3 linked regions of the Arabidopsis thaliana genome follow. The protein of the gene in region 2 interacts with the protein of the main gene of each other region in a pairwise test. Each region holds a gene or a part of one and is shown on either strand. Other genes may lie near its edges. The genes, in order: RBCS1A, RPT2b and AT1G61180.

The links.
Region 1: the proteins of RPT2b (region 2) and RBCS1A interact in a two-hybrid assay, tested with the Arabidopsis thaliana proteins (one study listed by BioGRID).
Region 3: the proteins of RPT2b (region 2) and AT1G61180 interact in a two-hybrid assay, tested with the Arabidopsis thaliana proteins (one study listed by BioGRID).

Annotation. Positions count from the first base shown.
Region 1 is NC_003070.9:25,044,976-25,054,947, reverse strand, and holds RBCS1A (ribulose bisphosphate carboxylase small chain 1A), read left to right. Parts: upstream 1-5,280; 5' UTR 5,281-5,698; coding exon 5,699-5,869; intron 5,870-5,975; coding exon 5,976-6,110; intron 6,111-6,246; coding exon 6,247-6,483; 3' UTR 6,484-6,790; downstream 6,791-9,972. Other genes in the region: LBD40 (LOB domain-containing protein 40), read right to left, coding at 289-800, 958-1,147; ABA4 (abscisic acid (aba)-deficient 4), read left to right, coding at 8,267-8,314, 8,586-8,748, 8,855-8,955, 9,036-9,164, 9,237-9,325, 9,411-9,543. UniProt on the Arabidopsis thaliana protein: RuBisCO catalyzes two reactions: the carboxylation of D-ribulose 1,5-bisphosphate, the primary event in carbon dioxide fixation, as well as the oxidative fragmentation of the pentose substrate.
Region 2 is NC_003071.7:8,687,771-8,698,948, forward strand, and holds RPT2b (AAA-type ATPase family protein), read left to right. Parts: upstream 1-4,796; 5' UTR 4,797-4,965; coding exon 4,966-5,439; intron 5,440-5,519; coding exon 5,520-5,765; intron 5,766-6,167; coding exon 6,168-6,337; intron 6,338-6,441; coding exon 6,442-6,658; intron 6,659-6,749; coding exon 6,750-6,890; intron 6,891-6,983; coding exon 6,984-7,067; 3' UTR 7,068-7,341; downstream 7,342-11,178. Other genes in the region: COV1 (CONTINUOUS VASCULAR RING protein (DUF502)), read right to left, coding at 4-130, 257-354, 444-611, 700-809, 904-956, 1,393-1,551; LCV1 (uncharacterized protein), read right to left, coding at 2,844-2,929, 3,044-3,170, 3,312-3,409, 3,499-3,666, 3,749-3,858, 3,935-3,987, 4,336-4,464; AT2G20142 (Toll-Interleukin-Resistance (TIR) domain family protein), read left to right, coding at 7,617-8,068, 8,210-8,282, 8,380-8,796; AT2G20150 (uncharacterized protein), read left to right, coding at 9,840-9,843, 10,442-10,710. UniProt on the Arabidopsis thaliana protein: The 26S protease is involved in the ATP-dependent degradation of ubiquitinated proteins. The regulatory (or ATPase) complex confers ATP dependency and substrate specificity to the 26S complex. Acts redundantly with RPT2A in the regulation of gametogenesis.
Region 3 is NC_003070.9:22,546,764-22,559,014, reverse strand, and holds AT1G61180 (LRR and NB-ARC domains-containing disease resistance protein), read right to left. Parts: upstream 7,745-12,251; 5' UTR 7,530-7,744; coding exon 4,830-7,529; 3' UTR 4,730-4,829; coding exon of another isoform or gene 4,685-4,729; 3' UTR 4,331-4,684; downstream 1-4,330. Other genes in the region: AT1G61190 (LRR and NB-ARC domains-containing disease resistance protein), read right to left, coding at 1-1,413; AT1G61170 (uncharacterized protein), read right to left, coding at 8,542-9,297; AT1G61165 (uncharacterized protein), read right to left, coding at 10,772-10,879. UniProt on the Arabidopsis thaliana protein: Involved in disease resistance via the salicylic acid (SA) signaling pathway. Involved in shoot architecture development via the cytokinin signaling pathway.

The sequences.
Region 1 (9,972 bases), on a different chromosome or scaffold from region 2:
ACGTGTTTACATCAATTGCATCGTTTGTTTAAGTACATGAGTAAAATCAAGAATTTAGAATGGAAAGAAGAAATGTTTGTTATGTCGATCCGAACCAAGATTTGTTAAGTTAAGACCTCTTTATCATTCATCATACATATTTATGAAGAACACCGAACATGCAAAAGAAAACAAAACAAAACATAAAACTCAAAAAGAGAAAAAAGAGAGATTCGTTAATCTCTATTTGTACACCTAAAACTCAACACCAAAACTTGTAATTAAGACCAGCCACAAAAAAAGAACCATTCACTCACTGCACACCAGTCCAAGCTCAATCTTACACGTGTCCTCATCCTCAGACGTGCCACACCTCTCTAACTTTCTTTTCTTCATCGGTACCACCACGTGATTTCCACGTGCTAAAGGCTCCAACCCCAAAGTCAGCTCAAGCCCGATCCAAGTCTTTGGTTCCTCCGTCGTCGTCTCCTCAGAAGACACCGGTGACTCGTGACTCAGTGACGACTCATGACTCAAAGACCTCACGTTTCTCTCTTCCTTGCATGCACCACGGCTCCGTCTCTTAACGTTCTCGTCCCTGCTTGACACGTGTCTTATGTCGCAAAGCTTGTTGTTAAAAGGAGGTGCTTGACCAGTAACCGCTGCGTCGCATGCGATCGGAGTCACGGGTGAGCCTCTCATTACTGCCTCAACGGCCGCTTGACAAAGATGCCAGTTTCCTGACCACAATAACCCCACGGATCCGTATATCGGATTCACAATCCTCCCGCATGCTTCGTACAACAATGATCTAAATATCGCTGCAAAAACAAACAAAATTACCAAATTATTAGATGCATGTTAGAAAAATAAACAGGATCCTACGTTTCCTAAAAAGATGTATGAGAGATTCCGTCCAGAACTTCGCAATTAACCATAACAAACAAAAAACATAACATGCATGGGAAGTTTGAATACCAGGACGGAGGTGGTCAGGACCGGTGTTGAGGAGGTTCATGAGCCCCGCACGGCCATAAAACTTGGCGAGGAAGACGGTGGCGTTGGCTTGAGATTCAGCGGATTTGATCCATTGAAGACAAGGTCTTATGCTACAGTTTTCACTGCAGCCTTTTCGTAGAACTCGACATCCGTTACAACTCATACGCATTTTAGATGGGAAACAAAAAACAAAATGTGTTTTGGGTTTGAGGGAAAGTACAGAATGGTCCAGAGATCTTAGAAGAAGGAAGAGGTATTTAAGAGGGAGAAGCTGCTTGGGTTTGGTCGGAGAGATCATAACAATTAACAAGGAACGAAGTTGTCGTTTTCTTTGTGTGTAATTTTTTTCAAAAAATAAATAAATTTGTGACGTGCATGTTATATTTTTCTCTAAATGGATATCGTAATTTTCAAAGTATAAATAAGATGTAAAGAGCCCAAAAAAGAAGAGTTTTGTAATTGTTTTTATATTTTGTATGAATTATTTTAGTAAATTACGAGAATATTACCTTTATTTAGGTAAGTAATTTTTTCAAACTGTTATTATGTGTTTATAAAAATAAACAAAGCTTCTCATACTATTTGTATAGTTATAAAATTTTAAAATCTTTAATTTTCATGGTTTATACATTTTGTTTGTTTGTTTGTAGTTACTAATAATATATATTTTTTTTTTTGGGGAAAATAGTTACTAATAAATATGAAATATATATGGAAGCCCGTTGAGCTTTGTCTTTGGCTCTCATTCGTAGCGCGTGATCATCATCGACGAAAATGTCCAAAACCAGTCAAGTATTTTATTTTTTTGGTTAGTTGTTTATATCTGACCGCCGTTTGTTTTTGTCTAGACCGCAGTTTAATGTTCGGCAATTAATAATGGACTGCCAAAATATTTGGAGATAGTAAATTTTGAAAACGAAATTACTAGAGGGTAAAATGGTAAATAGAGAGATGAGAGGTTCGAATTTCAACGTTCGCATGCAAGCGCAAAAGTGTGATCGCGTGGCGGAGACATTGTGGTAACAGAGTTTGGTCGAATCGCCGCGTTTTCTGAGCGGTTACACATTATGTAGCTCCATACATAATTCTGATAATTAATATTAATATCCAAATACCTACTTAATAAATTATCTTAATGGAATCACTTTGACTTCTATAGGCTCTAGTATATATCAACATTAATATCGAAAGACCTACTAATAAATTATCTGCATGGATCACTTTGACTAATATAGGCTCTACAATTTTTACTTTTAGGTGAATAGATGCCAACGTTTATTGGTTAGATTTGGTAGTTTCTTCCATTGAAACACCCATCATTGAATGGTGATGTTTGAATTATTTCTATTACTTCTTTAATAAAATAAAGAAAAAAACGCACACACAATCTATTAATTATTATTAAGGTTTAGAAACAGTTAAAAATTAAAATTATAGAAAATATATAAATATCTATCAAAAATGTTAAAAATGTCAAATCGCAAACAAAGTTTAGATAAAATATTTATTTAAGTATATCAAACATTATATAAACATTTATAATTATTTATATAAAGATAAAACTTAGTTAAAAACTAGAAAAATACAGTAAAACAAAATATATATAATTTTAACGGATAAAACGATTTATTTTTTCTTCTGCCGGCTATCACACGATTAATACGATTGTCTCCACTTTAACTAATAATATAATCATGCGAACAATCATAACTATAGCTAGTAGACTCTATAGAGTCAATTTTTCTGAAAGACCAGTTACAGACGAATGTGAAAGCTATATATGCTATATGATATATACTAGTATGAAATAAATTTGTTGTCGTTTCAGGTAATTTAGAAGACCTGTATAAAGTTGTACAATAATTTTCTATATCAAATAACTTAACATATTGTAAGATAAACAATAAGTCAATAACCTAATTCCTATATGTATATATATTATGTTTTTGAAAAATTCAAATGGTATATATACATGTTTAGATAGACGTATGGATAAATACAGTTTCAACCAAATTATCATATTGCTATAGAAGTGATTGACAAACAGATATGATAATTCATTAAAATAAAAATGCATAGGTAAGAGGTAGAAAAATAGATGCATACAAAATATAAGCATACGAATAAAATTTTTTGTCGTCTTTCTTATTGTCGTCTTATAATAAACAAATAAATACAAATTCTCTTAATTGACAAATACGAAAATGGATATGTGCTAGCTGGAATAATACAATGATATAATCCTTTATAGAGATTTATCTGATACAGAATCGAACGTTAACTCTTCCTTTTGGTTTAACAATTTCTATTTCCCCCGAATTCTATCAAAAGTGAAGCTAGAAAAATCCAAATCTAGAACTAGAAACAAGCCATGAATGTGTAAAAAATAAAAGTTTGTGAACTCTTGTTGATGATACACTGAACTGAAAAAAGAAAGACAAATGGAGGAGAGATAGGTGAAGATGCCATGCAAAAATGTCCAAAAATATTTTTATTTTTAAAAATGTGGAAAGAGCCAAAAACTTTAAAAAGAAATATAGGGGTTTGCATGCATATGGCCGCGCGTGTGTATCGCGTCATCCTACGTTTTTAGTCGTCGAGTTTAAATTGTTTGGACAAAACCTCTTGTATCTTCCAATCACTTCCATAATTTTAGGAGAAAAGAAAAACAAATATAGAAAATATAATGCAAACCCAGGGACTCGCGTTTTCCATGGTTTTCGGAATTTTGTGGGCTCTTTACCTTACGAGGAGCTTGAGCTTCAATGTTTTGATTAAAATAATAGAAGGCTTCTTGTAATATAGGATTATTGGTCAACAAATTCTTATTGTCCAAGATATTAACTGTTTGACTGAGTCTCAAAGTGGAATTAGAAACATCTTATTATGATATGTGGGTACTTTCTAGTTTCGACAAACATGTTTATGGCTTTCATCTATCAAGATTCTTCACTCTATAATTAGAATTCAAAAGTAGAGTTCACTGTCAGAATTCAAATTTATTATGTGTTTTTTTTCCGTGGTCGAGATTGTGTATTATTCTTTAGTTATTACAAGACTTTTAGCTAAAATTTGAAAGAATTTACTTTAAGAAAATCTTAACATCTGAGATAATTTCAGCAATAGATTATATTTTTCATTACTCTAGCAGTATTTTTGCAGATCAATCGCAACATATATGGTTGTTAGAAAAAATGCACTATATATATATATATTATTTTTTCAATTAAAAGTGCATGATATATAATATATATATATATATATATATGTGTGTGTGTATATGGTCAAAGAAATTCTTATACAAATATACACGAACACATATATTTGACAAAATCAAAGTATTACACTAAACAATGAGTTGGTGCATGGCCAAAACAAATATGTAGATTAAAAATTCCAGCCTCCAAAAAAAAATCCAAGTGTTGTAAAGCATTATATATATATAGTAGATCCCAAATTTTTGTACAATTCCACACTGATCGAATTTTTAAAGTTGAATATCTGACGTAGGATTTTTTTAATGTCTTACCTGACCATTTACTAATAACATTCATACGTTTTCATTTGAAATATCCTCTATAATTATATTGAATTTGGCACATAATAAGAAACCTAATTGGTGATTTATTTTACTAGTAAATTTCTGGTGATGGGCTTTCTACTAGAAAGCTCTCGGAAAATCTTGGACCAAATCCATATTCCATGACTTCGATTGTTAACCCTATTAGTTTTCACAAACATACTATCAATATCATTGCAACGGAAAAGGTACAAGTAAAACATTCAATCCGATAGGGAAGTGATGTAGGAGGTTGGGAAGACAGGCCCAGAAAGAGATTTATCTGACTTGTTTTGTGTATAGTTTTCAATGTTCATAAAGGAAGATGGAGACTTGAGAAGTTTTTTTTGGACTTTGTTTAGCTTTGTTGGGCGTTTTTTTTTTTTGATCAATAACTTTGTTGGGCTTATGATTTGTAATATTTTCGTGGACTCTTTAGTTTATTTAGACGTGCTAACTTTGTTGGGCTTATGACTTGTTGTAACATATTGTAACAGATGACTTGATGTGCGACTAATCTTTACACATTAAACATAGTTCTGTTTTTTGAAAGTTCTTATTTTCATTTTTATTTGAATGTTATATATTTTTCTATATTTATAATTCTAGTAAAAGGCAAATTTTGCTTTTAAATGAAAAAAATATATATTCCACAGTTTCACCTAATCTTATGCATTTAGCAGTACAAATTCAAAAATTTCCCATTTTTATTCATGAATCATACCATTATATATTAACTAAATCCAAGGTAAAAAAAAGGTATGAAAGCTCTATAGTAAGTAAAATATAAATTCCCCATAAGGAAAGGGCCAAGTCCACCAGGCAAGTAAAATGAGCAAGCACCACTCCACCATCACACAATTTCACTCATAGATAACGATAAGATTCATGGAATTATCTTCCACGTGGCATTATTCCAGCGGTTCAAGCCGATAAGGGTCTCAACACCTCTCCTTAGGCCTTTGTGGCCGTTACCAAGTAAAATTAACCTCACACATATCCACACTCAAAATCCAACGGTGTAGATCCTAGTCCACTTGAATCTCATGTATCCTAGACCCTCCGATCACTCCAAAGCTTGTTCTCATTGTTGTTATCATTATATATAGATGACCAAAGCACTAGACCAAACCTCAGTCACACAAAGAGTAAAGAAGAACAATGGCTTCCTCTATGCTCTCTTCCGCTACTATGGTTGCCTCTCCGGCTCAGGCCACTATGGTCGCTCCTTTCAACGGACTTAAGTCCTCCGCTGCCTTCCCAGCCACCCGCAAGGCTAACAACGACATTACTTCCATCACAAGCAACGGCGGAAGAGTTAACTGCATGCAGGTCATTTATATTTCTTCTTTCACTTTTTTATTATTCCATATGATTTTTTTCGGTTCTTTCTTCGAATCTACATAAACTAATATCATTGGAAAAATCGAAAAAATAGGTGTGGCCTCCGATTGGAAAGAAGAAGTTTGAGACTCTCTCTTACCTTCCTGACCTTACCGATTCCGAATTGGCTAAGGAAGTTGACTACCTTATCCGCAACAAGTGGATTCCTTGTGTTGAATTCGAGTTGGAGGTAATTAAACAAAATTTAAACATCTATATAAACTAGCTAGATCTTAGGAAAATTTGGTTTAATATATTAGGATCTTGATTTATATAAACATGTTCAAAATGTTATCTGAGTGGTTTGTAACATGTGGTTTGTATAGCACGGATTTGTGTACCGTGAGCACGGTAACTCACCCGGATACTATGATGGACGGTACTGGACAATGTGGAAGCTTCCCTTGTTCGGTTGCACCGACTCCGCTCAAGTGTTGAAGGAAGTGGAAGAGTGCAAGAAGGAGTACCCCAATGCCTTCATTAGGATCATCGGATTCGACAACACCCGTCAAGTCCAGTGCATCAGTTTCATTGCCTACAAGCCACCAAGCTTCACCGGTTAATTTCCCTTTGCTTTTGTGTAAACCTCAAAACTTTATCCCCCATCTTTGATTTTATCCCTTGTTTTTCTGCTTTTTTCTTCTTTCTTGGGTTTTAATTTCCGGACTTAACGTTTGTTTTCCGGTTTGCGAGACATATTCTATCGGATTCTCAACTGTCTGATGAAATAAATATGTAATGTTCTATAAGTCTTTCAATTTGATATGCATATCAACAAAAAGAAAATAGGACAATGCGGCTACAAATATGAAATTTACAAGTTTAAGAACCATGAGTCGCTAAAGAAATCATTAAGAAAATTAGTTTCACATTCAATTCTTGTCACATGATTAACGAGCTTGAGAGGTTTAGAGTAACAATATCTTGAAGCAAAAGATGACCCACTTGAAATCTAGTGATGGATACATAAGTGGACGTGCCTTGTTTAGGATAGGATTCTGGATAAGAGTCTCGAATATTCATTTTTACCAAGTATATTCAAGGATCTTGTGGATCATATATTTCCTCAATCAAAGGGACTTGACCCAAATTCACATAAAGATATTTTGGAGTCGTTTGTTTAGGTACTTTCGAAATAGGATAAGCTATGTGTGGGTCGTAAAAACTCAAAATTTTCTTTCATTTTTTTTTTTAATTTTTTCCTAATTAGTTACTGATATAGTGTAAAGTTTTGAAATATTTTAAACGATTTTTACCCCTTTTTAATAATTTTTGTACCATTTAATCTCAAGAATTATACATATTGTTTACCAAAAGGTTTTGGTCACCATCGAAAACATCGAAATGCTCAAATACCACAGAAAGATTGAAAGATAGGAGATACCAAAGATTTGTCTTTTTTTTCTTTTTTTCACAATTTGTTTTTGTTTTCATGTGTTGTTTTTTTGTTAAATAAACAAATTAGGTGGGAGTGATAAAGCAAAAAAACAAAGTGGGTGGGTCAAAAGGCCCATTAATACCAAAGCAAATAAGTTATCATACCAAATAGCCCACCCAAGTTATCTTCCTACTCCATCCAATTTCTCCAACAATGAGTATTAGCCACATGTCTATCTTTTTCTTGTCCTAACGTATTTTTTAAATCTTTTTTTCAGTCAATTCTTAATGCAATAACCAGGTTGTGAATATAAAACTAAAAATATATAAATGTAATAAAAGTAAACAACCGAATTAATGGGGGGAAACACTAACCATTGTCTTTTTCTTTCCTGAAACTAGACTTGTGTCTTGTCCACCTAAATTCACTTAAATCTCCATTAACATACACATATAACTTTTTTCACACAAAAATAAAATATATATATTTAACTTTTTATCAATATATTCAAAATTTTATATTGAATTGTATTGAACTTTTTTTTTTATGTATAATTGGTTTAATAAAAACTTATATGGTAATAGTAAAAATATATCATTGATTGAAGTAAACCAAAAATGTTACTTAAATCTACTAATTGATCCATATTAAATTAGAAGTTAATTAAATAAACAAACAAAATCCAAATAATTATAATAAACTAAACCGGAATTCAAAGTTTAAACAAATATTGAAGTAAAAAAGATGAAAACTTTATAAAGATGGAAGGATGAGCAAAAAGTGTTGTATATAATTGTCGACACTGAGCAAAGAAAGAGTGAAAGACAACTTTTTTCCCTTCCACTTTCGTTTTTTTTTATCCAGTGGAAATCTCGCAACCATTCCCATTATATATATGCAGAGAGTTTGTTGAAGAAGGTGATGAAAGATCAATTTTTGGCAATTAGTGGTGAAGATTTGAATCAGAGATGGGTTTTTCTTCTTTCATTTCTCAGCCTTTGTCTTCATCTCTCTCGGTATCTTCTTCTTCTTTAATTTCACTATACATATATGTACAGTTGTTGGATTAGATTCTGTGTTGAGTTAAACTATAGTTATGGATAACCTTAAAGTCTTTTTATCTTTTGACTAGAATTGAAGAATTTAATGGGTTTTTGAGTTGACTTTATTCTTTCTGAGTCACTGTTACAGAATCTCTGTTCTTGATTGTTGTGAGTTTTTGTATGAAAGTTTCTGAATTTCTATGAAGTAAAAGAAGAATCTTTCTTTCTTTGTTGGTGAATTCAGGTGATGAAACGCAACGTTTCTGCTAAAAGATCGGAACTTTGTCTTGATTCTTCAAAGATTAGATTAGATCATCGTTGGAGCTTCATTGGAGGATCAAGAATCTCTGTTCAGTCCAATTCTTACACCGTAGTTCACAAGAAATTCTCCGGTGTACGAGCTTCATGTACTGTGTCTCATAACCATTTAAAGATTAAACTTTGTCACTCATTTTGTGACTTTGATCTAAGATTATATGTGTGATTAGAATCTCTTATATGTTCATGTTGTAGGGTTAACTACTACTCAGATTGCAAGCAGTGTATTTGCGGTTGGAACTACCGCGGTTTTACCCTTCTATACTCTAATGGTTGTAGCACCAAAAGCTGAAATTGTAAGTTTAATTTTGTTGCAAGTTTTACAACTTGATGACCTAATGAAGTTGATCAAAATTGAGTATGTTTCTTTGTGCAGACCAAGAAGTGTATGGAGAGTAGCGTACCGTATATCATCTTAGGCGTATTATATGTGTATTTGTTATACATTTCTTGGACACCCGAGACGCTCAAATACATGTTTTCTAGTAAATACATGTTGCCAGAGGTTTTGCTTTCCCTTAACCATCCACAATATTTGTATCATTGCAGTTTCTAAAGTTAGTTTTTTCATCTGCAGTTGTCTGGAATAGCTAAAATGTTCTCAAGTGAAATGACTCTTGCTTCTGCTTGGATTCATCTTCTTGTTGTAGATCTTTTCGCTGCACGGTATATTACACTTCTCTTCTTCTCAATGGGTTCTGAAATTATCCTACATGTTTCTTATAAAGCGTGTTTTGGGTTTACTCTGCAGGCAAGTTTATAATGATGGGTTAGAGAACCAGATCGAGACGAGGCATTCGGTTTCACTTTGCCTTCTCTTCTGTCCGGTTGGAATCGTTTCGCATTTCGTAACCAAAGCTATAATCAACAACCAGTACAAATAAGCTGATGATCTTGGTTTCTTAAATGCCTATAAAGATTTGGAATGATGCTTCATTATGCTTTTGCTCATGTTAAATTAGCTGTAATGGGTTAAGTTGTTGACAGTATCAATGAGACCAAACAACTCGAGACAAGTTTTCATCTTTTGTCAATAAGTTTACCTCATGAGGTTTTTGCAGAAATTTGCAACTTGAAAACCTCCTCTTCAAATATTTTACTAAACTACAGATTTAGGTTCACTAAATTTGTCAAACGTTTAATAAATCCGTTTTGATGTGACAACACTACTACGACTCGAGCCCTTTAGTTGAGTGGTGTGTCATGACCTCATCAGCAGATCAAGTGCTCCGTACACCAATCAATCAACACAAGTTACACAACACATATTCAAGAATATGCATCGATGGAAATGTAATGCTAGGTATGAGGCA
Region 2 (11,178 bases):
CACCAATTCCTTCCCGGACCGAGAGGTTTGGCCTGATAACGTCATTACTGTTGACAAGTAGTAGATCTCCAATGTAAAGGTGGTTCGTGGGAACGTATACACAGCAAAGTTCCTCCTCGGTTGGATAGTTCTGCAAGGACGAAGGACATTATTACATTGGATAAACAAATGATGTAATTATAGTAAACCATGCCTCGAGATTGTATCTGCCTTCGTATCCTTTACCAAAATCGTTGAGCAAAGCAATTTCACTCACCTGGAGAACAACAGTTGATGTAATGAAGCCAAATGCGTATTCACCTACACGGGGATGCCTGATGATTGCAACTTCCTTGAAAGCTTGTGTATTTTGATCTGTGATGAGAAATGGATAAGAACAAGATGAGATAGGAGATCAACTTAATGTTGAGAAGCAAAACAAGATTTTTATAAGCAAGCTAGACCAGGCGATATGGCAGTGCTGATTTGCTTGGAGGCGTTGTAGATGTGACGAACAAACGGCATCCGCTTGATAAACCACTCTCCCAAGTTCAGAACCGATGCCCCCAACCACGAAGACATGAACACCCCAACCAAGAAGATGAATGCAATGGAAGTCAAAAAACCGAAACCTACAAAAAACCATAATCAAACTTATTGTGGGAAACGGAACGATATCAAATTGTTCATTCGATAAAGAAGGGCCACTCAAATTCTTACCAAATACGTTGATTCCAAGTTGTGCATATATTGGAGAGAAGAATCCATCGACAAAGTGAATAAACCACCATGTTATATAGAAAGTAATTGCAATAGGAAGTAGGATAACACTACAAAAAGCAATTGAGATTTGAAACTATCAGCACAAATCTTGAATATGTGACAAGTTTCATCAAGCCAAAATTTCAGTAAACTCTTCCTTACCAGCCTGTCATGAACTTCTTTGACGCCCAGCCCCTAATGAACAAGCTTAAAGTCTGCAGAAAAATAGATAAAGCATCAGATCACAATGCTCCTATGTGTTATATATGCTTGAAAACATGAATTAGCATGACATAGAGACTCAAGAATCTGACAGATCCCAATAAAAACACTTAAGATCTAATGCAAATTAATACTCTACTCAGTGAGGAAAGGTCAAATTTCTATAAGCATCTTAAGAATTAAGATCAGTGTTAACACACTACCAAACTTATCTAAGCAAGTGTTCTTGTAATATACTGAATCTAGGGCTAAACCATGTTCCAAGATTTTGCACTAAGGGGTTTCTCAGAATGGGCCAAATCTCTGAAGACTAAATCTTGAAAAGACCTAAGAGCTTAAAACCAATCCAATTCAACTGTTAATTGCGCATGAATCTTGAAATGAGAAAACGAAGAACAAGATTTTTAGATCAGGTGACAAAAACTAGACCTCGTGGCTGGATTGATGCGAAGAAGAAGAAGCAGAGGAAGAAGAAGAAGGCTTCGAAGAAGAACCGTCGTCTTTGTCGCCGGAATCAGCGACGGGAATCAGAAGCTCTCGATCTCTTTCTCGATTGGCCATAACAATCACCGGCTTCTCGTCTCCCATCGCCAAGAAACCAAAGAGACAAGGAAATCTAGTCGGAGAAAAAGAAAGAAGAGAGAAATGCCGGTGAACTGTGAACGGCGGAGAGGAAAAAGGCTGAGACTTTTGCCGGCGACTGTTCTTTTGTAGCTAAGCTTAGCTAACTCCAACTTGAGCTCTCTGTCGTTTTTGGATTTTTCTTTTTATATCTGTCTTCTTTTATTTATCCTTTTCTTAATTATAACATGATTAATTTTTGTTTCAAATTACTGTATACAAATTATTTTCAAAAGATGAAAAGATTAATTTTATTGTTGTGAATTAATATATCAAAAATTTATTTGTTCTACTTGAAATCATATACATTCATCGTAAAAATAAACTTTACAATAAATATTTTATTATCTAGAGTAAAACATTTTTGATTCTTAAGCAATATCAAAACAATTCCATCATATTTAAGCAAAAAATAACTAATTATAGTATATGTTTTAAATGATTTATACTGTAATATTTATTATTGTCATTTTTGTTTGTTACATACGTCTTCGAATTATCACATTAAAAGAGAAAATTATTCTAACGATTATATATTTTCCCAAGACTGCACCCAATGTTAAATCTGATATGGAAAATAATTTTCTTACAACTTTCAGATTTATTTTAAATATAAAAGTTAAGCAAAAACTATAATATATATATATTTGAGATTTCTATATGAGATAAAGTTCTAAAATAAATTAAAGTTTACAAAGGCAGAGAAATGAAGATTCATAATTAGGTCAGGTGCTAAGCACAATCCTCCTCTAAGAAAATTTTGGTCGATACATTTTTAGCTGCAGTATTTTATTTCACCATAAGAATTAGTAACATGTTGGAAACAAAACGTACCTGAGATCAAAAGAAGAGCTAGACAGAGAAATGTTAGACCATTTTTTTCTTCGATCAACAATGTCTCTCTATATATACCACATTTTATACTATTCCCTAATATGTAAAACGATATTGCCATTTGTCATGTGATTATTATTAGGGTGGGATTATCTTTGATTATCTTTTTGTTATAAAGTCAATGCGACAGTAATATGAAAGACACAAGGACGCGGATACAAATTATAATCTATAAGAAAAGAAAAAAAATTATTTTTAAAAGGGCTAAAAGAAAACAAGGTTATTCAAATAATATTGACAAATTACACTTCTCGACAAATTTTTCTGTGTTTTTTGGTTTCTCTATTCGCTCAGATTTTGTGAAACGTCTCTTCTGATTTTTTATTTTTTCCTATCGATCGGCCAAAGGTTTTTGAATAGTCACTTTAAGATTCATTTCCAATCGAGGCCAAAGGTTTATCAAGAGTCGATAGAATCTGCGGCATTGACATTCCCCCGGAAACAACAATCTCTGCAGATGAAGAATGAGTATACAGTGTTCAGTATCTTTCCACAAAATAATTTGAATGCTATATAACAAACGATAAATGTATCTAGTATAGACAATTAGATTCTGAAATCTCACCAATTCCTTCCCGGACAGAGAGGTTTGGCCTGATAACGTCATTACTGTTGACAAGTAGTATATCTCCAATGTAAAGGTGGTTCGTGGGAACGTATACACAGCAAAGTTCCTCCTCGGTTGGGTAGTTCTGCAAGAACGAATAGCATTATTACATTGGGTAAAAAGATTACGAAATTATGGTAAACCATATAACTCGAAATTGTTTGTATCCTCAAGGAGACGTTCTGGAAAGAATAACAAAATCCTTGAGCAAAGTATTTTCACTCACCTGGAGAACAACAGTTGATGTAATGAAGCCAAATGCATATTCACCTACACGGGGATGCCTGATGATTGCAACTTCCTTGAAAGCTTGTGTATTTTGATCTGTGATGAGAAATGGATAAGAACAAGATGAGATAGGAGATCAACTTAATGTTGAGAAGCAAAACAAGATTTTTATAAGCAAGCTAGACCAGGCGATATGGCAGTGCTGATTTGCTTGGAGGCGTTGTAGATGTGACGAACAAATGGCATCCGCTTGATAAACCACTCTCCCAAGTTCAGAACCGATGCCCCCAACCACGAAGACATGAACACCCCAACCAAGAAGATGAATGCAATGGAAGTCAAAAAACCGAAACCTACAAAACAATAATCAAACTCATTGTGGGAAACCGATATCAAGTTGTTAATAGGATAAAGAGGGGCCATTCAAATTCTTACCAAATATGTTGATTCCAAGTAGTGCATATATTGGAGAGAAGAATCCATCGACAAAGTGAATAAACCACCATGTTGTATAGAAAGTAACTGCAATAGGAAGTAGGATAACACTGCAAAAAGCAATGGAGACTTAAAACTAATCTGTGGAAGTTTTCATCAAATGCCAAAATTTCAACTCTTCCTTACCAGCCTGTCATGAACTTCTTTGACGCCCAACCCCTAATGAACAAGCTTAAAGTCTGCAGAAAAGAGCTAAAGCATCAGGCCACAATGCTCTATAAGTTATACATGCTTGAAAACATGAATGAGCATAATACAAAGACTCAAGAATCTGAATGATTCCAACCACAACAACTTGGAATGCAAATTCATACTCTACTCAATCACAACTACCAAACTTATCTAAGCAAGTGTTCTTGTGATATACTGAATCTAGGGCAAAACAAGTTCCAAGATTTTGAACTAAGGGGAGACAGAATCGACCAAATCTATGAATAACTATCATCCAATTCTACTGTTAGTTTCGCATGAATCTTGAAATGAGAAAACGAAGAACACGTTTTTAGATCAGGTGACAAAAACTAGACCTCGTGGCCGGATTGATGCGAAGAAGAAGCAGAGGAAGAAGAAGAAGGCTTCGAAGAAGAACCATCGTCTTTGTCGCCGAAATCAGCGACGGGAATCAGAAGCTCTCGATCTCTTTCTCGATTGGCCATAACAATTGTCGTGTAAAGAGAGATAAAACCCTAAACCTAGAAACTCACCGAGAGTTCGAAGATTGTAAATCACAATCTAGAAGCTAGTTGCGAAACAGAAGAACCACCTCGAAGATCCTGAGATTTGATGATGATGATTGTGATGATGATGAATGACAGATAGAGAAGACGATGAAATTGATTTTTGATTCGATTTCCCCAAATGGCAAAAGAAAAGTTCCTTACCTGTACCGATTGACCGTACCAACTACCAAACCAACGAATTGACTTTTACAAAACTTAAACCGAAATTAAAGATAATTAAACCGAGTTATTGAACTAAACCAGATAATAGCTTAGGTTGAATCAGTTTTAAAAAAATTTGCGATACCTAAGGCCCACTAAGTTTTTCACATCGTAAAAAGGCCTAAAATAATAAGCCCACTTTAATCATCTCCTCCCGTTATCAGATTAAAAGATTTGTTTCTCCGAGAGCAAGAAACCTCAGAGAGACGAAGCACAATGGGTCAAGGACCTTCCGGCGGATTGAATCGGCAAGGAGATCGGAAACCAGATGGTGGAGAGAAGAAGGAGAAGAAGTTCGAACCAGCCGCACCACCTGCTCGTGTAGGGAGGAAGCAACGGAAGCAGAAAGGACCTGAAGCGGCGGCGAGATTGCCGACGGTGACTCCTTCTACTAAATGTAAGCTTCGATTGCTGAAATTGGAGCGAATCAAGGACTATTTGCTTATGGAGGAAGAGTTCGTAGCGAATCAGGAGAGATTGAAACCTCAGGAAGAGAAAGCTGAGGAAGATAGATCTAAAGTTGATGATCTTCGTGGTACACCTATGAGTGTTGGCAATCTTGAAGAGCTTATTGATGAGAATCACGCCATTGTTTCTTCTTCGGTTGGTCCTGAGTACTACGTTGGCATTTTGTCTTTCGTTGATAAGGATCAGCTTGAACCTGGCTGCTCTATTTTGATGCATAACAAGGTATTGAGTTTTACAATGCTCTTCCATGGAAACGTTGAACCAATTCTTCTATGTGATATTTTTTATTATTTTTGTGATAGGTACTCTCTGTTGTTGGGATTCTTCAAGATGAAGTGGATCCAATGGTGTCTGTGATGAAAGTGGAGAAGGCTCCTTTGGAGTCATATGCTGACATTGGAGGTTTAGAAGCTCAGATTCAGGAGATTAAGGAAGCTGTTGAGTTACCTTTAACACATCCCGAGCTGTATGAAGATATTGGAATTAAGCCACCAAAAGGTGTGATCTTGTATGGTGAGCCAGGCACTGGGAAGACATTGCTTGCTAAGGTTCGTCTTTTAGCCTATAGTGTATCCATTATATAATAAGCTTTCTAGTTGTTAATTGCTTAATACAGCACATAATGGTACTTCCCAAGTATGATTGGTTTTATGTCAAGTCATGCATGCAAAATTTTCTGTCTTTTATCAATCTTCACTAGAAAGATGAATTAGTCAGGACAGTGGCTTCTTTGGTTTGATCACCTAGAATTGAGATATTAGATCATAGTACTTGTGTAGATAGAGGAAGATTTTCAGAGTCACGTGGATTGATTTAATGTCTTCGTTTTCTTTTTGTCTATGTCGCAAGCATGGATTGTTGCAGTGTGCCTCTTTTTAATGTGTCTCTTATGCTTGTTAAATTCGGAACTGTTGGAGATGAGCAAGTGTTATTTCTTGTTATTCTTTCAGGCAGTGGCAAATTCTACTTCAGCTACTTTCTTGCGTGTTGTCGGTAGTGAACTGATTCAGAAGTATTTAGGAGATGGTCCCAAGCTTGTGAGGGAACTTTTCAGGGTTGCTGATGACCTTTCTCCTTCTATTGTTTTCATAGACGAGATTGATGCTGTTGGCACCAAGCGGTATGCCTAAATACAACATAAACATGATCCATTGATAAACAATGTTCTTGATTTTGCTCAAGAGATGGTATCTAATATGTGATATAAAATGGTGGTTGAAACAGGTATGACGCAAACTCAGGTGGGGAACGTGAAATCCAAAGAACCATGTTGGAACTACTGAACCAGCTTGATGGGTTTGATTCAAGAGGAGATGTTAAGGTTATTCTCGCGACAAACAGGATCGAGAGTCTTGACCCGGCACTTCTTAGACCAGGCCGGATCGACAGGAAAATCGAATTCCCTCTTCCAGATATCAAAACAAGAAGACGTATCTTCCAGGTTCCACAACTGGTGATCCTTAAGTTTTCTTTCTTTTTTTGTGAATTTTCTAGAAAGATCTGATCGGTTTTTAATTGCATGCCATTATTAGATACACACATCAAAGATGACTTTGGCTGAAGATGTGAACTTAGAAGAGTTTGTAATGACAAAAGACGAGTTCTCAGGAGCTGATATAAAGGCAATATGCACAGAAGCTGGTCTGCTTGCTCTTAGAGAGCGTCGGATGAAAGTAAGGATTCTCTGGCTTCTCACCACTTGATTCATCGAACGCAATCTTTGAATAATTTTACTTTAACCTTTGTTTGGTCTTCTATTGGTTTAGGTGACGCATGTGGACTTCAAGAAGGCGAAGGAGAAGGTTATGTTCAAGAAGAAAGAAGGAGTTCCTGAAGGTCTTTACATGTGAATGATGCACAACGACTGGTTTCAATCTCTTTTTTCGAGTTTGCTCTCTTTTTCTCCGTTTTTCTGTTTTCACTCTCTGCTTAGATTTTTTTTTCTGATCATATAAAATCGTTTGCCCATTATTAATCTGCTTCCAAATTAGCAATTTATTAGTTTGCTTTCTTCAGAACAACCTCATAGATTTATTCATTTGAAATTTCCATCATTTTTACTTTGCGGTTACGAATATATAGTCCAATTTCCAAGTCTAAGCTTATGTGGGTTATTTTACATTATTGTTTGAACTTATTTCTGAAGCTTGGAGATATTTAAAGTCAACATAAGTAGCTGTCGATATTTGTCGACAGGCTGTCTGAATCAAATATAAAATACATACACTTCCAAGAAACTACGAAGAAAGTTTCAAAATTGCAATAGAAAAAGAGGATTGAAGTCGTGTGTTTTTGTACTTTAGTAAAGATAATAATTTCTAGGAAATTGCAAAGAAAGTTATAAAGAACTATAAAGATGAAAACAGAAGAAAGGAAAGTGGTATGACAAAAATAAGGAAATGAATTCAAGTCCTAAAATGAAACACGATGTGTTCATAAGTTTCAGGAGCAAAGACACTCGTGACAACTTCGTAAGCCATCTCTGTGGCTGTCTACGTAGGAAACGGATCAAAACCTTCTTGTATGACGAACTACCAGCTGACGAGAGGTATGAAGAGTCGTTAAAAGCAATTGAAGTATCGAAAATTTCAGTCATTGTGTTCTCGGAAAACTTTGGGGATTCGAGATGGTGTTTAGATGAAGTTGTAGCCATCTTGAAATGCAAAGAAAAGTTTGGTCAGATTGTGATACCTGTCCTTTACCATGTTGATCCTCTCGACATTGAAAATCAGACAGGAAGTTTTGGAGATGCCTTTGCTAAGCGACGGGATAAAGCCGAACAGCTTCAAGAATGGAAAGATAGTTTTACAGAAGCCATTAACCTCCCTGGATGGAGTACTGCTTATTTGAGGTATAACCCCAAACTCATACTTTCTATTAAAGTTACCGTCGTAAGTGAGCTACAAGATGTTTTAATCTCTGGGATTAATATTATGATCACTGCTTTCTCTACTTGTAAATAGTGTGCTTTTGCTTATGCTTATATTCCCAGTGATGAGGAGATGTTGGTGAATGGAATAGCTCGGGAAATCGAGAACAAACTGCTAAGAGCCTCAAGAACGAAGGTCTTTTAGATCAAAAACCATTTTTAAAGTCTTAGCTACGTTTTTTTACTAACAAATTTGTTGGCGATAAATTCTGTTTTTTTCTTCTTATAAGCAGGTTATGATTGAGTGGTCTTTAGTCATCACCAACCTCATGTTGGAGATACCTTCTTCTGTTTTCGACCAGATCTCCTCTGCACATAAACCTTTATATGCATTGGCTGCAATGTCAATGTCATTGTTATCATGTCTACTTTGCATTGTAGATCTCTTACACAAAGGCAGAGTTGACAGAGTTGTGTGGAAGTGGACTTGGCCCATTCCTTGGTTTCACTATCAAACTCAAAGATCAAACAGATTTGGTAGTTTTCCAGAGATGCTAGGCTTGGTTTGTGCCTTGTGCCAAACAACTATCACTGCCGTTAACTATTCATTCATCACACGTAGAGATGATACTCCCATCAAATTCTCGGTTTGGCCAATCATGTTTGCGCTAGGTTTACTTTGCACTTTGTTGATTAAAAGATTTAGATAACTATTTCCATTATTTACTTGTTGCATACTATATATAGATACACTTACTTTGTTATAATTTGTTCTCTCTTCTGTTTTAACAAAAAAAATCAGTTTTACTATTTTAAGTTTTACGTTAAACATATAAAATGATAGGAAAGAACTAAAAAACTCATATTTCAATAATTCTCTTTCATTTTTGTTTTACCTGTTTAAATTTGATGTTTAAAACTAGGCTACAATTGCTTAGAACCAAAGATGTTTTTGCAACACTTTAGATTTGTTTATTTTTTAAAGACCGAATAGCCACAACTTTTAACCTCACTTTGGAATCAAAATAACATATTCTTAGACCACATTAATATACTTATTTGCTTTGTATTTTGACAGACGAAACATGGTTACATATTGGACTGCATCAACATTGAAAAGCAGCTAGCCTTTGATCATCCTTTGCTCAAAAAAAGTCTTAAAACCGCGATTTATTTTTTATTTGGCCGTTTAATACCTGTAAGTTTAAAATTGAAATAAAAATACCTAAATTATTTTGTGTTGCCTTTTAAATCCATGGTCTTCTAAATTCGGGTAAAATTTATTTTGTGTTACAAGTAAAAGCTATTCAAGATTCTCTCTTTTGTTTTGTCCTAATGTATTAAATTATCATATGCCGTTGAAGCCTACAACTAGACCTAACTAATGGACAAGAGATTACAACACTTCTCAAAAATCAAGTTCTCTGCCACTTCGACAAGATGAGGACATAAGTTGACCACTTAAAAATGTGATTATTACAAGAACTACACTTGAAGATCTTATACAAATTCAACGTTTGAAATCTTTAGGGTTTAAGTATCCAGCATCCCAAGACGAGAACTGCCTCGGTGTGAACCATCATCATGTAAGAAACACTTATGTTCATATAGGTAAGACCTTAATTAACACCCTACATGTACTTATAATTTTATTTATTTATTTTGCTCCTTATGATTATCTTTGTTTTGTTTGTGACTGTGAGAATATGTTGCCATTTGGCACTGTTAGTCGGAGAACACATTGGCTTACTAGATGAGTGCGTAAGATTTCTTTTGTTTAATTTTTTCTGTTTGTCGTCTTTCTGTTCAAGTTTAGTTGATTAATATGCAACAGAAAATATGAAAAATGATAATAAAATTTAACATTACACTAAAAAAAGCAAGAAGTTATAATTTGGAATTGGTCATAATCTTTGTAGGCTCATAACCAACTTTTGGTAATACTTGTGGGGAGTTAAATAGTCTAAATCATCATTTCCCATATGAAGCACATAATACTCGAACTCAAGTCCAGTTGCATTAATTAAAACAACACTCCTGTAACGATTGAGCCAACTGCATTAGGGTAATCTGTATCTAGTTATATAACTCATGTCTTTCTATTTAAATACATAAGAAACAAGAGATTACAAAATCCCAGTCCGGCTTTAGTGTTTAATAGGTCGAAACCCAAATAGAAAGAGCACAGCTCAGTTAACAATTAGAAACACACATTGAGAAAAGATCTTAGAGTTGAACCTAGACTATAGGGTAGTCTAGCCGATGGAATAGTGAGAGTCATCTGATGAAGATTATGAAGTTGAGAACCAAAGCTGATGCATCGATGAAGCCAAACGAGGGTAATGGTCTCTGTAGGTGGTGATTCTGTTGCGGATAGTACAGTCAATCAGGCGAAGCAGAGTATCCGCAGATCTGAAAGTATTACGATGGAGCGGATTGTTTCGTTCACCCTAGAGGAAGTGCCGGAGAGCATTGCCAAGCTAGAAGACAAACTCTTCTCCTATCTTTTGGACCTTGAAGGGCTTGCATCTGGGAGACAGAGGCAGACCATGAGCGGAGAGGTTGGATTTGGGGTTCTCAAAGCAATTGATGACCAAACTATCCAAGACAGATTGCACTGGTAGAAAAGGTGATCAAGGCTTTCAGGAGAGGTGTTACAGAGCATGCAAACTGGATCTGTGTGAAGGCCCCAGCCAAGTATACGGTCTCGAGTAGGACACTGGTTCAGAACTAGTAACCAAGTAAGGAAACTATGCTTAGGAATACCTCTGTATATCCACACCGCAGCACGCCAAGGAACAAGAGGAGAGTCCTCAAGGAAGAGATGATAAACAAGCCCAGTAGAGTAACGATTGTGGATTTTGCCTTGCACTTCCCATCCAAAATAGTCAGCATTATCTGAGAAAGATAAAGTAGTTAGAAAGATGTGTAGGGAGACCTGCTGATCGGTTCTCGGATGAGGTATTGCCCAAAGTCCCTACTCATGGAGTTGAAATAGAGTGGCATCTTTCCTTATTCCCAGTCTCTAGTCCCTTAGGAAATTCGATAGCCTGTCAAAAGGAGACCAATTATCTGACAAAATCTGCAGGTTT
Region 3 (12,251 bases), on a different chromosome or scaffold from region 2:
CCATTTCACGAACCCACGATCATTTGTTAGTAAATTAGCACGGATAAGGGTACCGAGCATCTCATAACCCTTATTCCTCGCTCTTTTTATAACTTGGTCTTCTCCGATGAATCCTTCGCAGATCCATTTGTTTATCAAGGTTTTGGTATCTATCTTATCATCTTCGGGAAACAGAGCACAATATAGGAAACACGACTTGATATGTTCATCCTCCAAGCTATCGTAGCTGTACTTGAGAATCGGAAGAATTTTGTTTTGCATGTCAGAAAACTCTGCAGCGGATCTAGTCAAAACATCGATTGCATGCTCCCATTCTTGTACCATAGTTTTAGATGCCATTGTCTCACCAATGCAACTGAGCGCCAATGGCAGACCACGACATTTTTGAGCGACCTCTCTTGCCAACCCCACAATAACAGGATCACTACGTAATGTGTTGTCTCCGACCTTGTTTTTGAACAACTCCCATGCATCCTCTGGTTCCAAACATTTGACTTGCATCGGCTTATGATCCCCCATCTGCCCACAAACTTTTTGATCTCGGGTGGTGAATGCTACTTTGCATTTATTTACTTCACTCGGATAGGGAATACCAATGGCCTCTAAATCCACTTTCTCCCATATATCATCTAGCATCAAAACAAATCTCTTTCCCTTTAAAACTCTGTGTATATCGGTGGCCTTATCACTTTCATTCTTGTTCTTCCACAGGTCGTCACAAAGGTGTAATTTCTCTGCAATATCTTCTTGAAGCTTTGAAAGCTTTGCGCCTTGAGACACCACGATCCAGATCACAATGTCAAACGTACCACCTGTTTCAGCGAACTTATTGTGGATTTTCTTGAAAAGGGTTGTTTTGCCTACACCACCCATACCGTGCAGACCCATGATTCCGACTCCATCTTCCATAAGGCGGTTCCATGCCTTTTTGAGCATTTCTTCTTGACCAATCGTAGGCTGAGTAGGCCTCTCTTCAACTTCAGATCTTGGAGGCGGCTGAGAAACCTCGTCAAAATTTCCCTCCGATTTTAGTTTCGTAACCTCTTCCAATAACAAAAACACCCTTTTCCCATATTTGTAGCTTGAACATACATATTTTGAACATAAACCGCAGAGACACAACTTTTGAAGCTCAACGGGACTAACACTTAGCAGATCTTTGCACTCTATATCAATGCTATTGACACGGTCAAGCCATACCTGGACAGCTTCAAGCCTTTGTTGATGGCGTGACTCCTCTCTCGCTACCTTGTTCTGTACCTCATGTTGAGTTGCTCTTAGATCTTCCATTTCCCTCTGCAGAGCTCTGAGATTCTTCTCGAGGTTTCGAATATAACCTTTACCACATAAGCATCTAATGATACGATCCAGCATTTGATCACCAGAAATTTCTATACACACAAAATTTCCCATGGTGAAGTTAAGAGAGAAAAGTTTCAGTAAGCAACAACGAAGCTAAAGCTAAAGCTGAAGGTGAAGAAGTGTTTTAGATAACATCTTGCTCCAATACGGGTGGGTTGAGATTATCAAAGAAAGATAGAAGATAATAAAAGACATTGCTGTCACTGATTTTCAGACCACCCATTTTCCATATGAAGGACTTTGATTTTTCTCTTCTTTTTTTGGTAGCTAGAGTCCATACAAATTAGTGTCTGGCAATAATATGGCATCTAATGACTTTTCAAAATGACAAATCTTTCATTTTCGTGTAGACTATTAGACTAGTATCTTTTACCATCCCACAGCAAAGTGGTAGAACTATGTAAGTCCTTTGTCGCTCTGATATCAAGTCTTGTAACTAAATAAATTGAAAATAGAACTGACCTCTAAATTACGAAGACCAAAAAGCATACACTGTTGATTGTGTAAAAATATGTAGTTTGAAAAGGATTAATTCAATCCGTTTTAACTTTGAAGTAATACGATACGGAAATGATGAAAAACATAATCCAAGTGAACAACACACTGGAGAAAGAAAAAAATGCAAAAGAAAAGTAGTGAAAAAGAAATCCAAATGAAGATATCACAAATTACAAGAAGAAAGAGAGAACAACATAAAAAGAAGCCATGGACTCTGCTTTTAGCCAGTGAACAACTTATGACTAACCCACATCACTAAAGAATAAGAAGAAGAAGCAAAAAAAAAACTTGACAATTGTGGAACTGAATGAAATTGAGAGGTATAACCTCTCTGCTGGGAATATCCCTAACACCCCATCTACCTAATTACTTATTAATATCTAAAGAAGCTGAACTTATTTTAAGGTTTCTCCTCCATATATGTCTATCCTATGTCTATACTTATTTTAAGCTGAACTGATTTTATAGTTTGAAAGGAAAAGAAAAGATTTTTTTTTTGTGAGATTTGATCATTAGAAGAGTAGAATACACATCTTTCTTTAAATTTTGAAAAATTGATGACACATAATCTGAACATCTAATCTGAAGGCAAACAGAAGCCAAGCCAGATCATTTATGCACTCAGGTATAAGCACGTCTGAGAGACGACTGGTAAAGCATGGAATTGTCGGATTGTTTAAATTAGACTAGTCCATTTAGCTTTCCTGCAATATATACATCTCCTAGACATGACTACTTTCGACATAGAGATGATGAAGATTCTCCATACTAGCCAGTGATGATGTATTGAATAGCTTTTCTTGAAAAGCATGAATATGCAGAGAAGTGATGCAGTTCACCAACCTTTGACCGCCGAAATGTTTGATCCAAACCTAACTATGTAGGTATCGTCATGGTTAGAACTAGTAGATGATGCTCCAAAGGACCAAGGTCTGCAGCTCCTTCACTAAGCTTCAGAAGTAGTGTCTTTAGTGATTCTGGATCAGAGAAAGAAGATGGAAGAAGATTTTACAGACTTTGTTGAAGACAAAGATGTGAATGATTTAGACAATGAACACCAAGATTTATATTAATGAAAAAATTGATGCCGGCTCATAGAGAGATTCCCAGACTTCTCCAGGGCAATGAAGAATTTGATGACTCAAGGGACTAGTGAAGAAAACGAAACCTTCATTTTGAGTTATTGTTTAATTGGAAACCCTCATGAATCTTTTTGCATATCCAATAGCTTTATTGTGTGGAATGAAGCTAGAGAAGATGAGAAGTTGAACATACAGTGGTATGGATGTCAAGGATTTGGTCATCTGAAAACAGAATGTTCTACCGTCAAAAGAATAGATTGGCATTTGCGTTGGAATCAAAATATGATTATTATCTAAATTCGAATTGAGGAACCAGAGATTGAGACTAGATGGGAAAGTGAAGAAGATTGACAAGAGAAGACGTCAGAAGACGAAGCGTCAAAGATTGAGGGAGAAGAAGAAGACTTTGGTTTTAAGTGTAAAAGGGCTTTTGGGCCACAAATGTATTTAAGGCCCAACTAGTAAATGGGTTTAGAGGTTTGCACAAAAGTTATAACTATGAAATTTCAGGTATGTTCAAGGTTTTGTTAAGACAATGTACAAGAAAATAAACGTTTCAGTTTTCAGCGACTTTTACAGAAGGCTGTGGTGAATCTTTGATCATGCAATCTACGATTTAAAGTAAAGAGTCAACATCTATTAGTAACCTTTTCATCGTTTTGAATGTTTAAAAAGAGCACAAAATTTGGTTTTTAGATGGTTTCGTGCTGGCTCCAAAGAGATTCGTAGATAACTTCTCCGAGACAAGAGAGGGGAGGCAATATTCAAATCCTTCATTTGATGCTTAAGGGATAGCGCATAAAACGAACTAAGTCTTAAAACTAGTTATAAAGATCATAAACAGATGGAAGCTATACGAGAACGTGAAGAGAGATATGCTTCTTGACAAAAGTGAGAAGATGCAAAAAAAAAGATTAAGAGTTTACCATAACACTCAACAAAATTAAGAAATTAAGCCACCACACTAGACATAGTGATACGATTGATGTATCAAGAAGAATGTGAATGAGAGAAAGCAAAAGAAGACACGTGCAAGTGAGGAGGCACGTGAGAAGAAACTTGCTTGAAGAAGAAGATATTTTTAGGATCTAAAAATATCTTGAACAAACTCAGTTCGAGTATAAATAATGGCTCTGAATGTTTAGAGAGGTTTATGTTGTTTGTTGTTGAATGGTATGAGAGACTTAAGAGCAGAGCTAGTGATGTGCTAGTCTCTCTCGTATGGTGTATTGAGAGCTGAGCTAGTGATGTGCTAGTCTCTCTCTTGTATGGTGTGTTAGTGTGTACCGGTTTGGTTAAGGAATCGGAGGTATCGATATTGAAATCTTAACACATAGCTTAGGAGTATATCACAATTTTAGATATTCAGAATAGGTTTGAGGGATTGACACTAGAGAATCTGAGTACAAGATCTTCATGATTTACCAAAATCAAATCTTTTCATTAACAACTGGAACATGAAAAAGAAACCAACAGATGAAGAAAGACACTGCAAGGTGAAAGAGAAACCAACAAATGGATTTTACCTAAACGCATAAACTTTTGATTGTGTAAAAATGTAGTTTGAACAGGATGCAAAACGTTTTAGGGAATACAAAAGGAAAATGAAAAACATAATCCAAGTGAACAACACAACAACACATTCCAGAAGTATCAGAATGCAAATCAATTATACAATCCAAATGCAGCACTACAAGAAGATAGATAAAGCAATAGAAGAAGAAGAAGCGTGAATTCTGATTTTAGACAGTGAGGAAACTCATTCCTGGGTAGACGAAGTACTTGTACTAAAGAAGAAGAAAATGAAACAATGTTAGTAACAATGCATTGAAATTGAGAGGCACAGTATATTCTATTGTGTGATCCATTTTGCAGAAGGACAATATCTCATGCTAACCTTGAAAGAAACATTAGCAAGAAATACAAATAACTCAAGCATAAGAGATTAAAAGAAATGATTACCGGTTTGATTGAAGGCAAGAATCGATTTTTGGTATCATCGTCCTCCCATTCAAGCTCATTTTCCTGTTCTGGAGGAGGATACATATGTATTTCAAATTCTTCAACTTTTGAAACACTTGTAGCATTTAATGGAAGCTTTCTCAGCTTTGGACAGTTTGAAACATCCATGGTCAACAAAACCGGAAAGGGGAGAGGACTCCAGTAGATACTCTCCAGCTTCGGCAAATTATACAAAATCAACCATTCTAGTTTCAGAAATGGTGTAATACTTGTAAGATTGGTTGCTTTCTCTTTGTTTATTATTTCTCCCACTTCTCTTGAATCTTCAATGAGTAGCACGACAAGATTTGGAGCAAACAATATCCAAGTCAGATCCTTCATGCTATGGCACTTCATTATCTCCAGTCGTGAGAGGTTGGTAAAGCATGGAATTTTCGGATTGATGCGTAAATAAGACGATTCTGTCTCGCTTTCTCTGCACTTTATCTCCGAGAAATAACTATTTTCCACCCGTAGGGAACTAAGATTCTCCATACTCGCCAAGAATGATAAATCGAATGGCTTTTGAAGAAACCCTTCAATACAAAGATTAGAGATTAACTTCGCCAACCTTTGATCCAAACTAATTAACTCCGCGGATACAGTTATGGCTAGCTCTTGTAGATTCTGCAATTGCTGCAGCTCCTTCAATACGCTAGCATCTCCATGAACTTTAGACCCTAGCAGTCTCAACAATCTTAAACTCAACAACCTTGATATCCCACTGATACTACAAAGTCGATCAGTATAAGTCAAATCCAGGAAAGTTAGCTTTTTCAACTCTTTGAGACCAATAGGCATGTGCTCTATACTTGTATTCGACAAGTCAAGAAACTGCAACGAGACCAGCCCCGATATCTGCTCTGGAAGTTTATTGAAGTCACGATTATATGAAAGATCCAAAACAACTAGCTTTTGCATATACCGAATGAATGCACCTGGTAGATTCTTCAATTTATTACTTTGAAGGAACAAAGTTGTAAGTTCAGAACACTTGGACTCGCATGTTATCTCTTCAATATCATTATCCATTAATGACATCTTTCTTACAGCTCCCCAATCCTTGACTTTTGGTATTTCATGTAACCCGACTCCTGCTTGCACAACAAAATTCTCTTTCTGTTTCCCAAAATCGGAAGCAATCCATAAAGCCATTTCACGAACCACGTCATGCATCACACAATAATATGTACCAACCTTTGTTAGCAAATTTGCACGGGTAAGGGTACCGAGCATCGCATAACCCTTATTCCTCGCTCTTTTTATAACTTGGTCTTCTCCGATGAATCCTTCGCATATCCAGTAGTCTATCAACTTTTCGTTATATATCTCACCATCTTCAGGAAACAGAGCACAATATAGGAAACACGACTTGATATGTTCATCCCCCAAGCTATCGTAGCTGTACTTGAGAATCGGAAGAATTTTGTTTTGCATGTCAGAAAACTCTGCAGCGGATGTATTAAAAACATGGATTGCATGCTCCCATTCTTGTACCATAGTTTTAGATGACATTGTCTCACCAATGACGTTGAGCGCCAATGGCAGACCACGACATTTTTGAGCGACCTCTCTTGCCAACTCCACAATAACAGGATCACTACTTAATGTGTTGTCTCCGACCTTGTTTTTGAACAGCTCCCATGCATCCTCTGGTTCCAAACAGTTGACTTGCATCGGCTTATGATCCCCCATCTCCCCACAAACTTCCCGAGAACGTGTCGTGAATGCTACTTTGCATTTATTTACTTCACTCGGATAGGGAATACCAATGGCCTCTAAATCCACTTTCTCCCATATATCATCTAGCATCAAAACAAATCTCTTGCCCTTTAAAACTCTGTGTATATCAGTGGCCTTATCACTTTCATTCTTGTTCTTCCACAGGTCGTCACAAAGGTGTAGTTTCTCTGCAATATCTTCTTGAAGCTTTGAAATCATTACGCCTTTAGACACCACGATCCAGATCACAATGTCAAACGTACCACCTATTTCAGCGAACTTGTTGTGGATTTTCTTGAAAAGGGTTGTTTTGCCTACACCACCCATACCGTGCAGACCCATGATTCCGACTCCATCTTCCATAAGGCGGTTCCATGCCTTTTCGAGCATGTCTTCCTGACCAATCGTAGGCTGAGTAGGCCTCTCTTCAACTTCAGACCTTGGAGGCGGCTGAGAAACCTCGTCAAAATTTCCCTCCGAGTTTAGTTTCTTAACCTCTTCCAGTAACAAGAATACCTTTTTCCCATATTTGTAGCTTGAACATACATATTTTGAACACAAACCGCATAGACACAACTTTTGAAGCTCAACAGGAGTAACACTTAGCAGATCTTTGCACTCTATATCAACGCTATTGACACGGTCAAGCCATACCTGGACAGCTTCAAGCCTTCGTTGATGGCGTGCCTCGTCTCTAGCTACCTTGTTTTGTACCTCATGTTGAATTGCTCTGAGATCTTCCATTTCCCTCTGCAGAGCTCTGAGATTCTTCTCGAGGGTTCGAATATAACTTTTACCAATTAAGCAATTAAAGATACGATTCAGTGTTTGATCACTAACTTGAAGAGAAAAACAACTCCCCATGGTGATGAGAATAGAGATAAACTTTTAGTAAGCAAAAACGAGGCTAATATTAGTGGAACAAGACCACTGCAAAGTTCTGTGGTTACAAGCGAAGAGAATGAGAAGAAGAAGAGAGAAGAAGAGCTAAGTACAATCTCTAGATCTGGGAAAGGAGAAGTCAAGCGATAGTTTTTTTTTTTTTTTTTTGGACCAATCAAAGCGATAGTTAAATTATGAAGTTTGTATAACTTGTCATCTTTGCTTTGCTTTGACTATGAATAAATCAATTGAGTTTGCCCCCCAAAAAAAAACTTGCCCTGTTTTGGAGAAATTTTCAATAGATATAATTAAAGTAAAATAAATAAATAAACAAAAGCAACGTTCATATCTAGAAAAGCAAACTTTTGAATTAATTATTTATGTCTTGGATTATCTTTCTCTTTGCAAAACACGAAAAATATTCAAAACTAGTGTAATTATGAGTTCCACTTTCTTACGACAAAAAAAATAATGTGTTCCCCTATCACTGCTAGTGACGATCCCAAATAGGATGAGAACTTTCAATTTAATATAATTTTCATGTAACCGTTTGAATGATTATTCAAATGATTGTTGATTCGGTGATTACATAATTTCTCGTCTGACCCCGATTCTAATGTAATACTAGCTTCACCTTGTGGTAATAGCACTTGCAATGTTTCAGATTCGAGTCTTCGTGAAAGTAATTTTTTTGTGATTTTAAAGAACATTATTAATTACTAATTTCCAAAATTAAAGAACTTATAAATGAGTGGTATTTATTTTGGATATATATTATTCTACGTGGTGTTTAAAACATACATATGTATTCATTTCTAATCTTGAATTTTCGTTTACTCGAACATTACATCATTCAACCGAATTATAACTTTAAATCAGCAAATACAACACAGAAATGAATTACAGAGGTAACGTAATTAAGTAAGTAGCTTTACGAATTATGAATCCAACGTCAAATGAGAAGACATTATTCCCATCGAAATATTCTTCTTTTTCAAAGAAATATGAAACACTCTAACGAAACAAGCGGGTTCTCTAACAATTCCTCTGTGGTATAACCGTAATTCTGATGCTGTTGCTGATCCAACCCGTTTTTAGCCGGATCTAGTCTAACCCGACCCGGAGACTGATTATTCTTCCTAGTCTTTGCCCCACCCACCCGACTACTCTGATTCGAATCCATCACCGATCTATTCGTCGCCGGCGATCTTGACCTTCTTCCGGATCTCTCACCCGGGTCTCTCACACCCGACCCGTATCTCGCTCCATTACATGTACCATTGTTTCTCTTACGTGGAGATTGATCAGTTCTCCGGGTCGGATAATTATTACCGGTGACCTGGGTCCGAGTTTTCGCCGGAGATCTCTGAGATTTCCTCTGTTTCATCATCACATGTTCCTCATCGTAACCATTCATCACAACCGTTGAAGACACACTCTCGCTCAAACTCAAGCTACAAATCTCCGAAACCTCAGAGCCTTCTTCAGGATCAACCGAACCGGGTCGGATCAAAACCGGGTCTGAAGCCATTTTCAAGAAACCGGGTTTTTTCTCCTCATCTTCTCGGATCTTGGTCTTCACCGGGTCTTTGAACGTCGAAGTGCGGAAACTAGAGGAAGGAGTGAACAAGGTTGTCTCTGACAAGACTTCTTTGACTACTGTCTCTTCTTCGACAATGGTTGTGTTCTTGTCGGAAACGTTCTCGTTTTCCCGATCGGTGGTACCGGAGCTGACGCAGCAATTACCCATTAGAGAGAGAGAGAAGAGACGACGTCGTTTGATCGGAGATTAGAGAGTAGTACTCCTTGGTTGTGTTGTGTGGTGACAGCAGAGGATGATTGTGAAGTGAGAGTATTTATTGTTAATATTTTGGGACAGTTGATAATATGAGTAAAAAGAATAATTATACAACAACTACCCCAAAGTAGCTTTAGTTTATAATGATTTCAGCAGCAATTATGTCTGTGATTAAACCCCATGCAAATTTTCAATTTTCTTGATATAATGACGTTAATAAAGTTATGATAACTTTTTAGTCAAGAAAATTAAAAAAAACTTTTGAATATTAAAAACGTTTGAATGCGTAGAAATATTACGCATTCAAAGTTATGATAACTTTTTAGTCATGAGGTGTGTTACACTGTTACGTACTTACGACCAAAAAAAAAAAATGATGTATCATGTAATGGATTTTGTTGTTGAGACTTGAGAGGTAGAAATTGACAAAAAAAAATTTTTTTTAACTAATGTGAGTTTTATCTGAGATCCATTTACATCCTTCAAAATTTGATCGGATCCAAAATCTATAAGATAAATATTGTAGATGTCATTGAAAAAGGTCTAAATGAAAGATCTAAAAAGTCACATGACTCACATGCACGGAAATGGCTAGAGATCTAAACAAGCCCACAAAGAGTTCATTTCCTTTAAATATATCATTGAACTTAACATTTTTTTTGTCAGGATGTCCTTAAGCTGTCAGGTAATAATTTTGACAAATAAATCTCTACAAAAGCAGATGATATATAGTTTAGTTCTGTACAATTTGGAGTTTTTAGAGGACCTGATTTAAGAAAAAAAAAGAGAGAATGTTTCTTTAAAAACCAATGATAATAATGAAGGTCAGAAATAAAGGTTATGTCAGAGATCTAAAATAAAATCGTATCATAACATAAGACGAATCATTTGACCAAAAAGAACAAACATAAGACGAACCTTACGACTAGATCTAGTTTTTTTCTTTCTCGGGGACACATCATGGTGTCTTCTGTAATATTATGATTGAACACATGTTACGTATGTTACCAATCACAACCACATTGTACAATATACTTTACCATTTATTGCTTATTGGGTCGGGCTTAAAGATGATTAGGCTTAGGCAGGTCGACAATAGCATATTCATGAAAACTCATGACCACTACAGTTCACTGACAGACACATTCTTCTCAACGATCAATTATTTTGTGATAAGAAAAATGAAATTCAACAAAAAGAAAATCTGGCAAAAATCGTAAAATACATATATACTTGAGCCAAGGCTTTTGCAGTTTGGTTTCTTCTAATTATATTTACACAAAATTCTCATAACAAAAATCTTGGCAATGAAGATGCAATCAGTTTGCAAGACACGGTAGAGAAAAAGTTAACCGCAGAAGCACAAAACATAGCATAACGCAAAAAGCACAAAAAAATAGCATATATAATGCAAAAATCAAACTTTTTAACATTCTTGAATGGAGTTTGGACTTGAAGTTCGACTGTTGGAATCTCCGGGTGCAGGAGTGGGATAGGCGATGAATGAAGCTATATCGTCTCCTAGCATCAACATCGAGACTCCTTTTGAGTACACAACTATTTGCAAATCGATATAAACGCCACAAAATCAGTTTCCAATCAAAGCAATTGATATCCAAACAGTTTTATTGAGAAGACAAGAACATATCTAAACCCTTATCTGTGTTATGTTCCCCAAAACAGAATTTGATGTTAGCACAAAGTCACACAAAAATGAAGTTGATATAAACCTCTTAAATTAAAAGATAGGACTTGAAGATTTACATTGTATGGGTCCTCCCATGTTTGAATGATTCTAGTTATGTTCACATGGTAGGTTCTTTGTGTATATGTCACATGCCAATTAATTTCTAACCCCCAAATGACTATTAATTCCTAACCAAAAACAAAATCATTTCCATTTCCAATTGATAATCAAGATTCAAGACAATGGGATAATTATCTCACATCCAACAAAACCCATTTTCTTTTTTTCCTTTTTTTTTGGCCAAACAAAACCCATTTTCAAGTTCATATATTTGTGTGAGATTTGCCATTCCAAGAATCAATCCTCTCTCAAGCAAGTCGATCAAGATTTATTCGGAGTTTGTGACCGTAGCCGATATTATCAAATCCAAATCACCTTATTCAGTTAAGCTTGCTTAGTATCAAAACTCGAAGAGTTGAGAAACAAAAGGGAATCTTCAGTCTCTATGAAACTATATCATTCTCAATAACGTGAAAAAGAAGAGGACACTCTCTAGTCTCTATGAAACAAAGGGACAGAGCCAGTGGGCCATTTTGTGTTCCTAGGAAATGCAAGCACACATAGTAGAGTAGAGACCTCTTCTACTATCTCCACACGCATAGAATCCACTATTTTCTCTCACTCATAAATACTTACATACAAATCAATCTCAAATACAAAATCACATTTCTCTTTTACCTTTTTTTATCTTTATGGAATGAAAGAACAGGTATGATGCCGAATGATATCAATGAATGCATCACTATATAAGTCTCTGTGTGTGTGTGTGTGACAAAGCTTATGAGACAGTTAAATTAGTGATGATCCAAAAACATGTGTGTGGGTCAGTTTCATTAATACCAATGAGTACGCAAACCCTATGATGTTTCTTGTTTTGGTACCAAAGAAAGTGTTCAAATCAATTAAAAGAACTATTTGGAACACATCTCTATCACATAAAAGATCAAATCTGACGTAACTTAAATTTAGATTTACCTTTTATACAATTATTTAATTTTGTATACCATATAAAACTATTTCGGGAACATATTAATGAACAAGTCAAAAGACTACAAGAGTCAATCTCCATATTAAATTTAAAATTTATTTTAAATTTGGAATTATAATAATAACTTTCTATCTTTGGGACTTTAAAAAAAAAAAAATTTGGGAACAAATT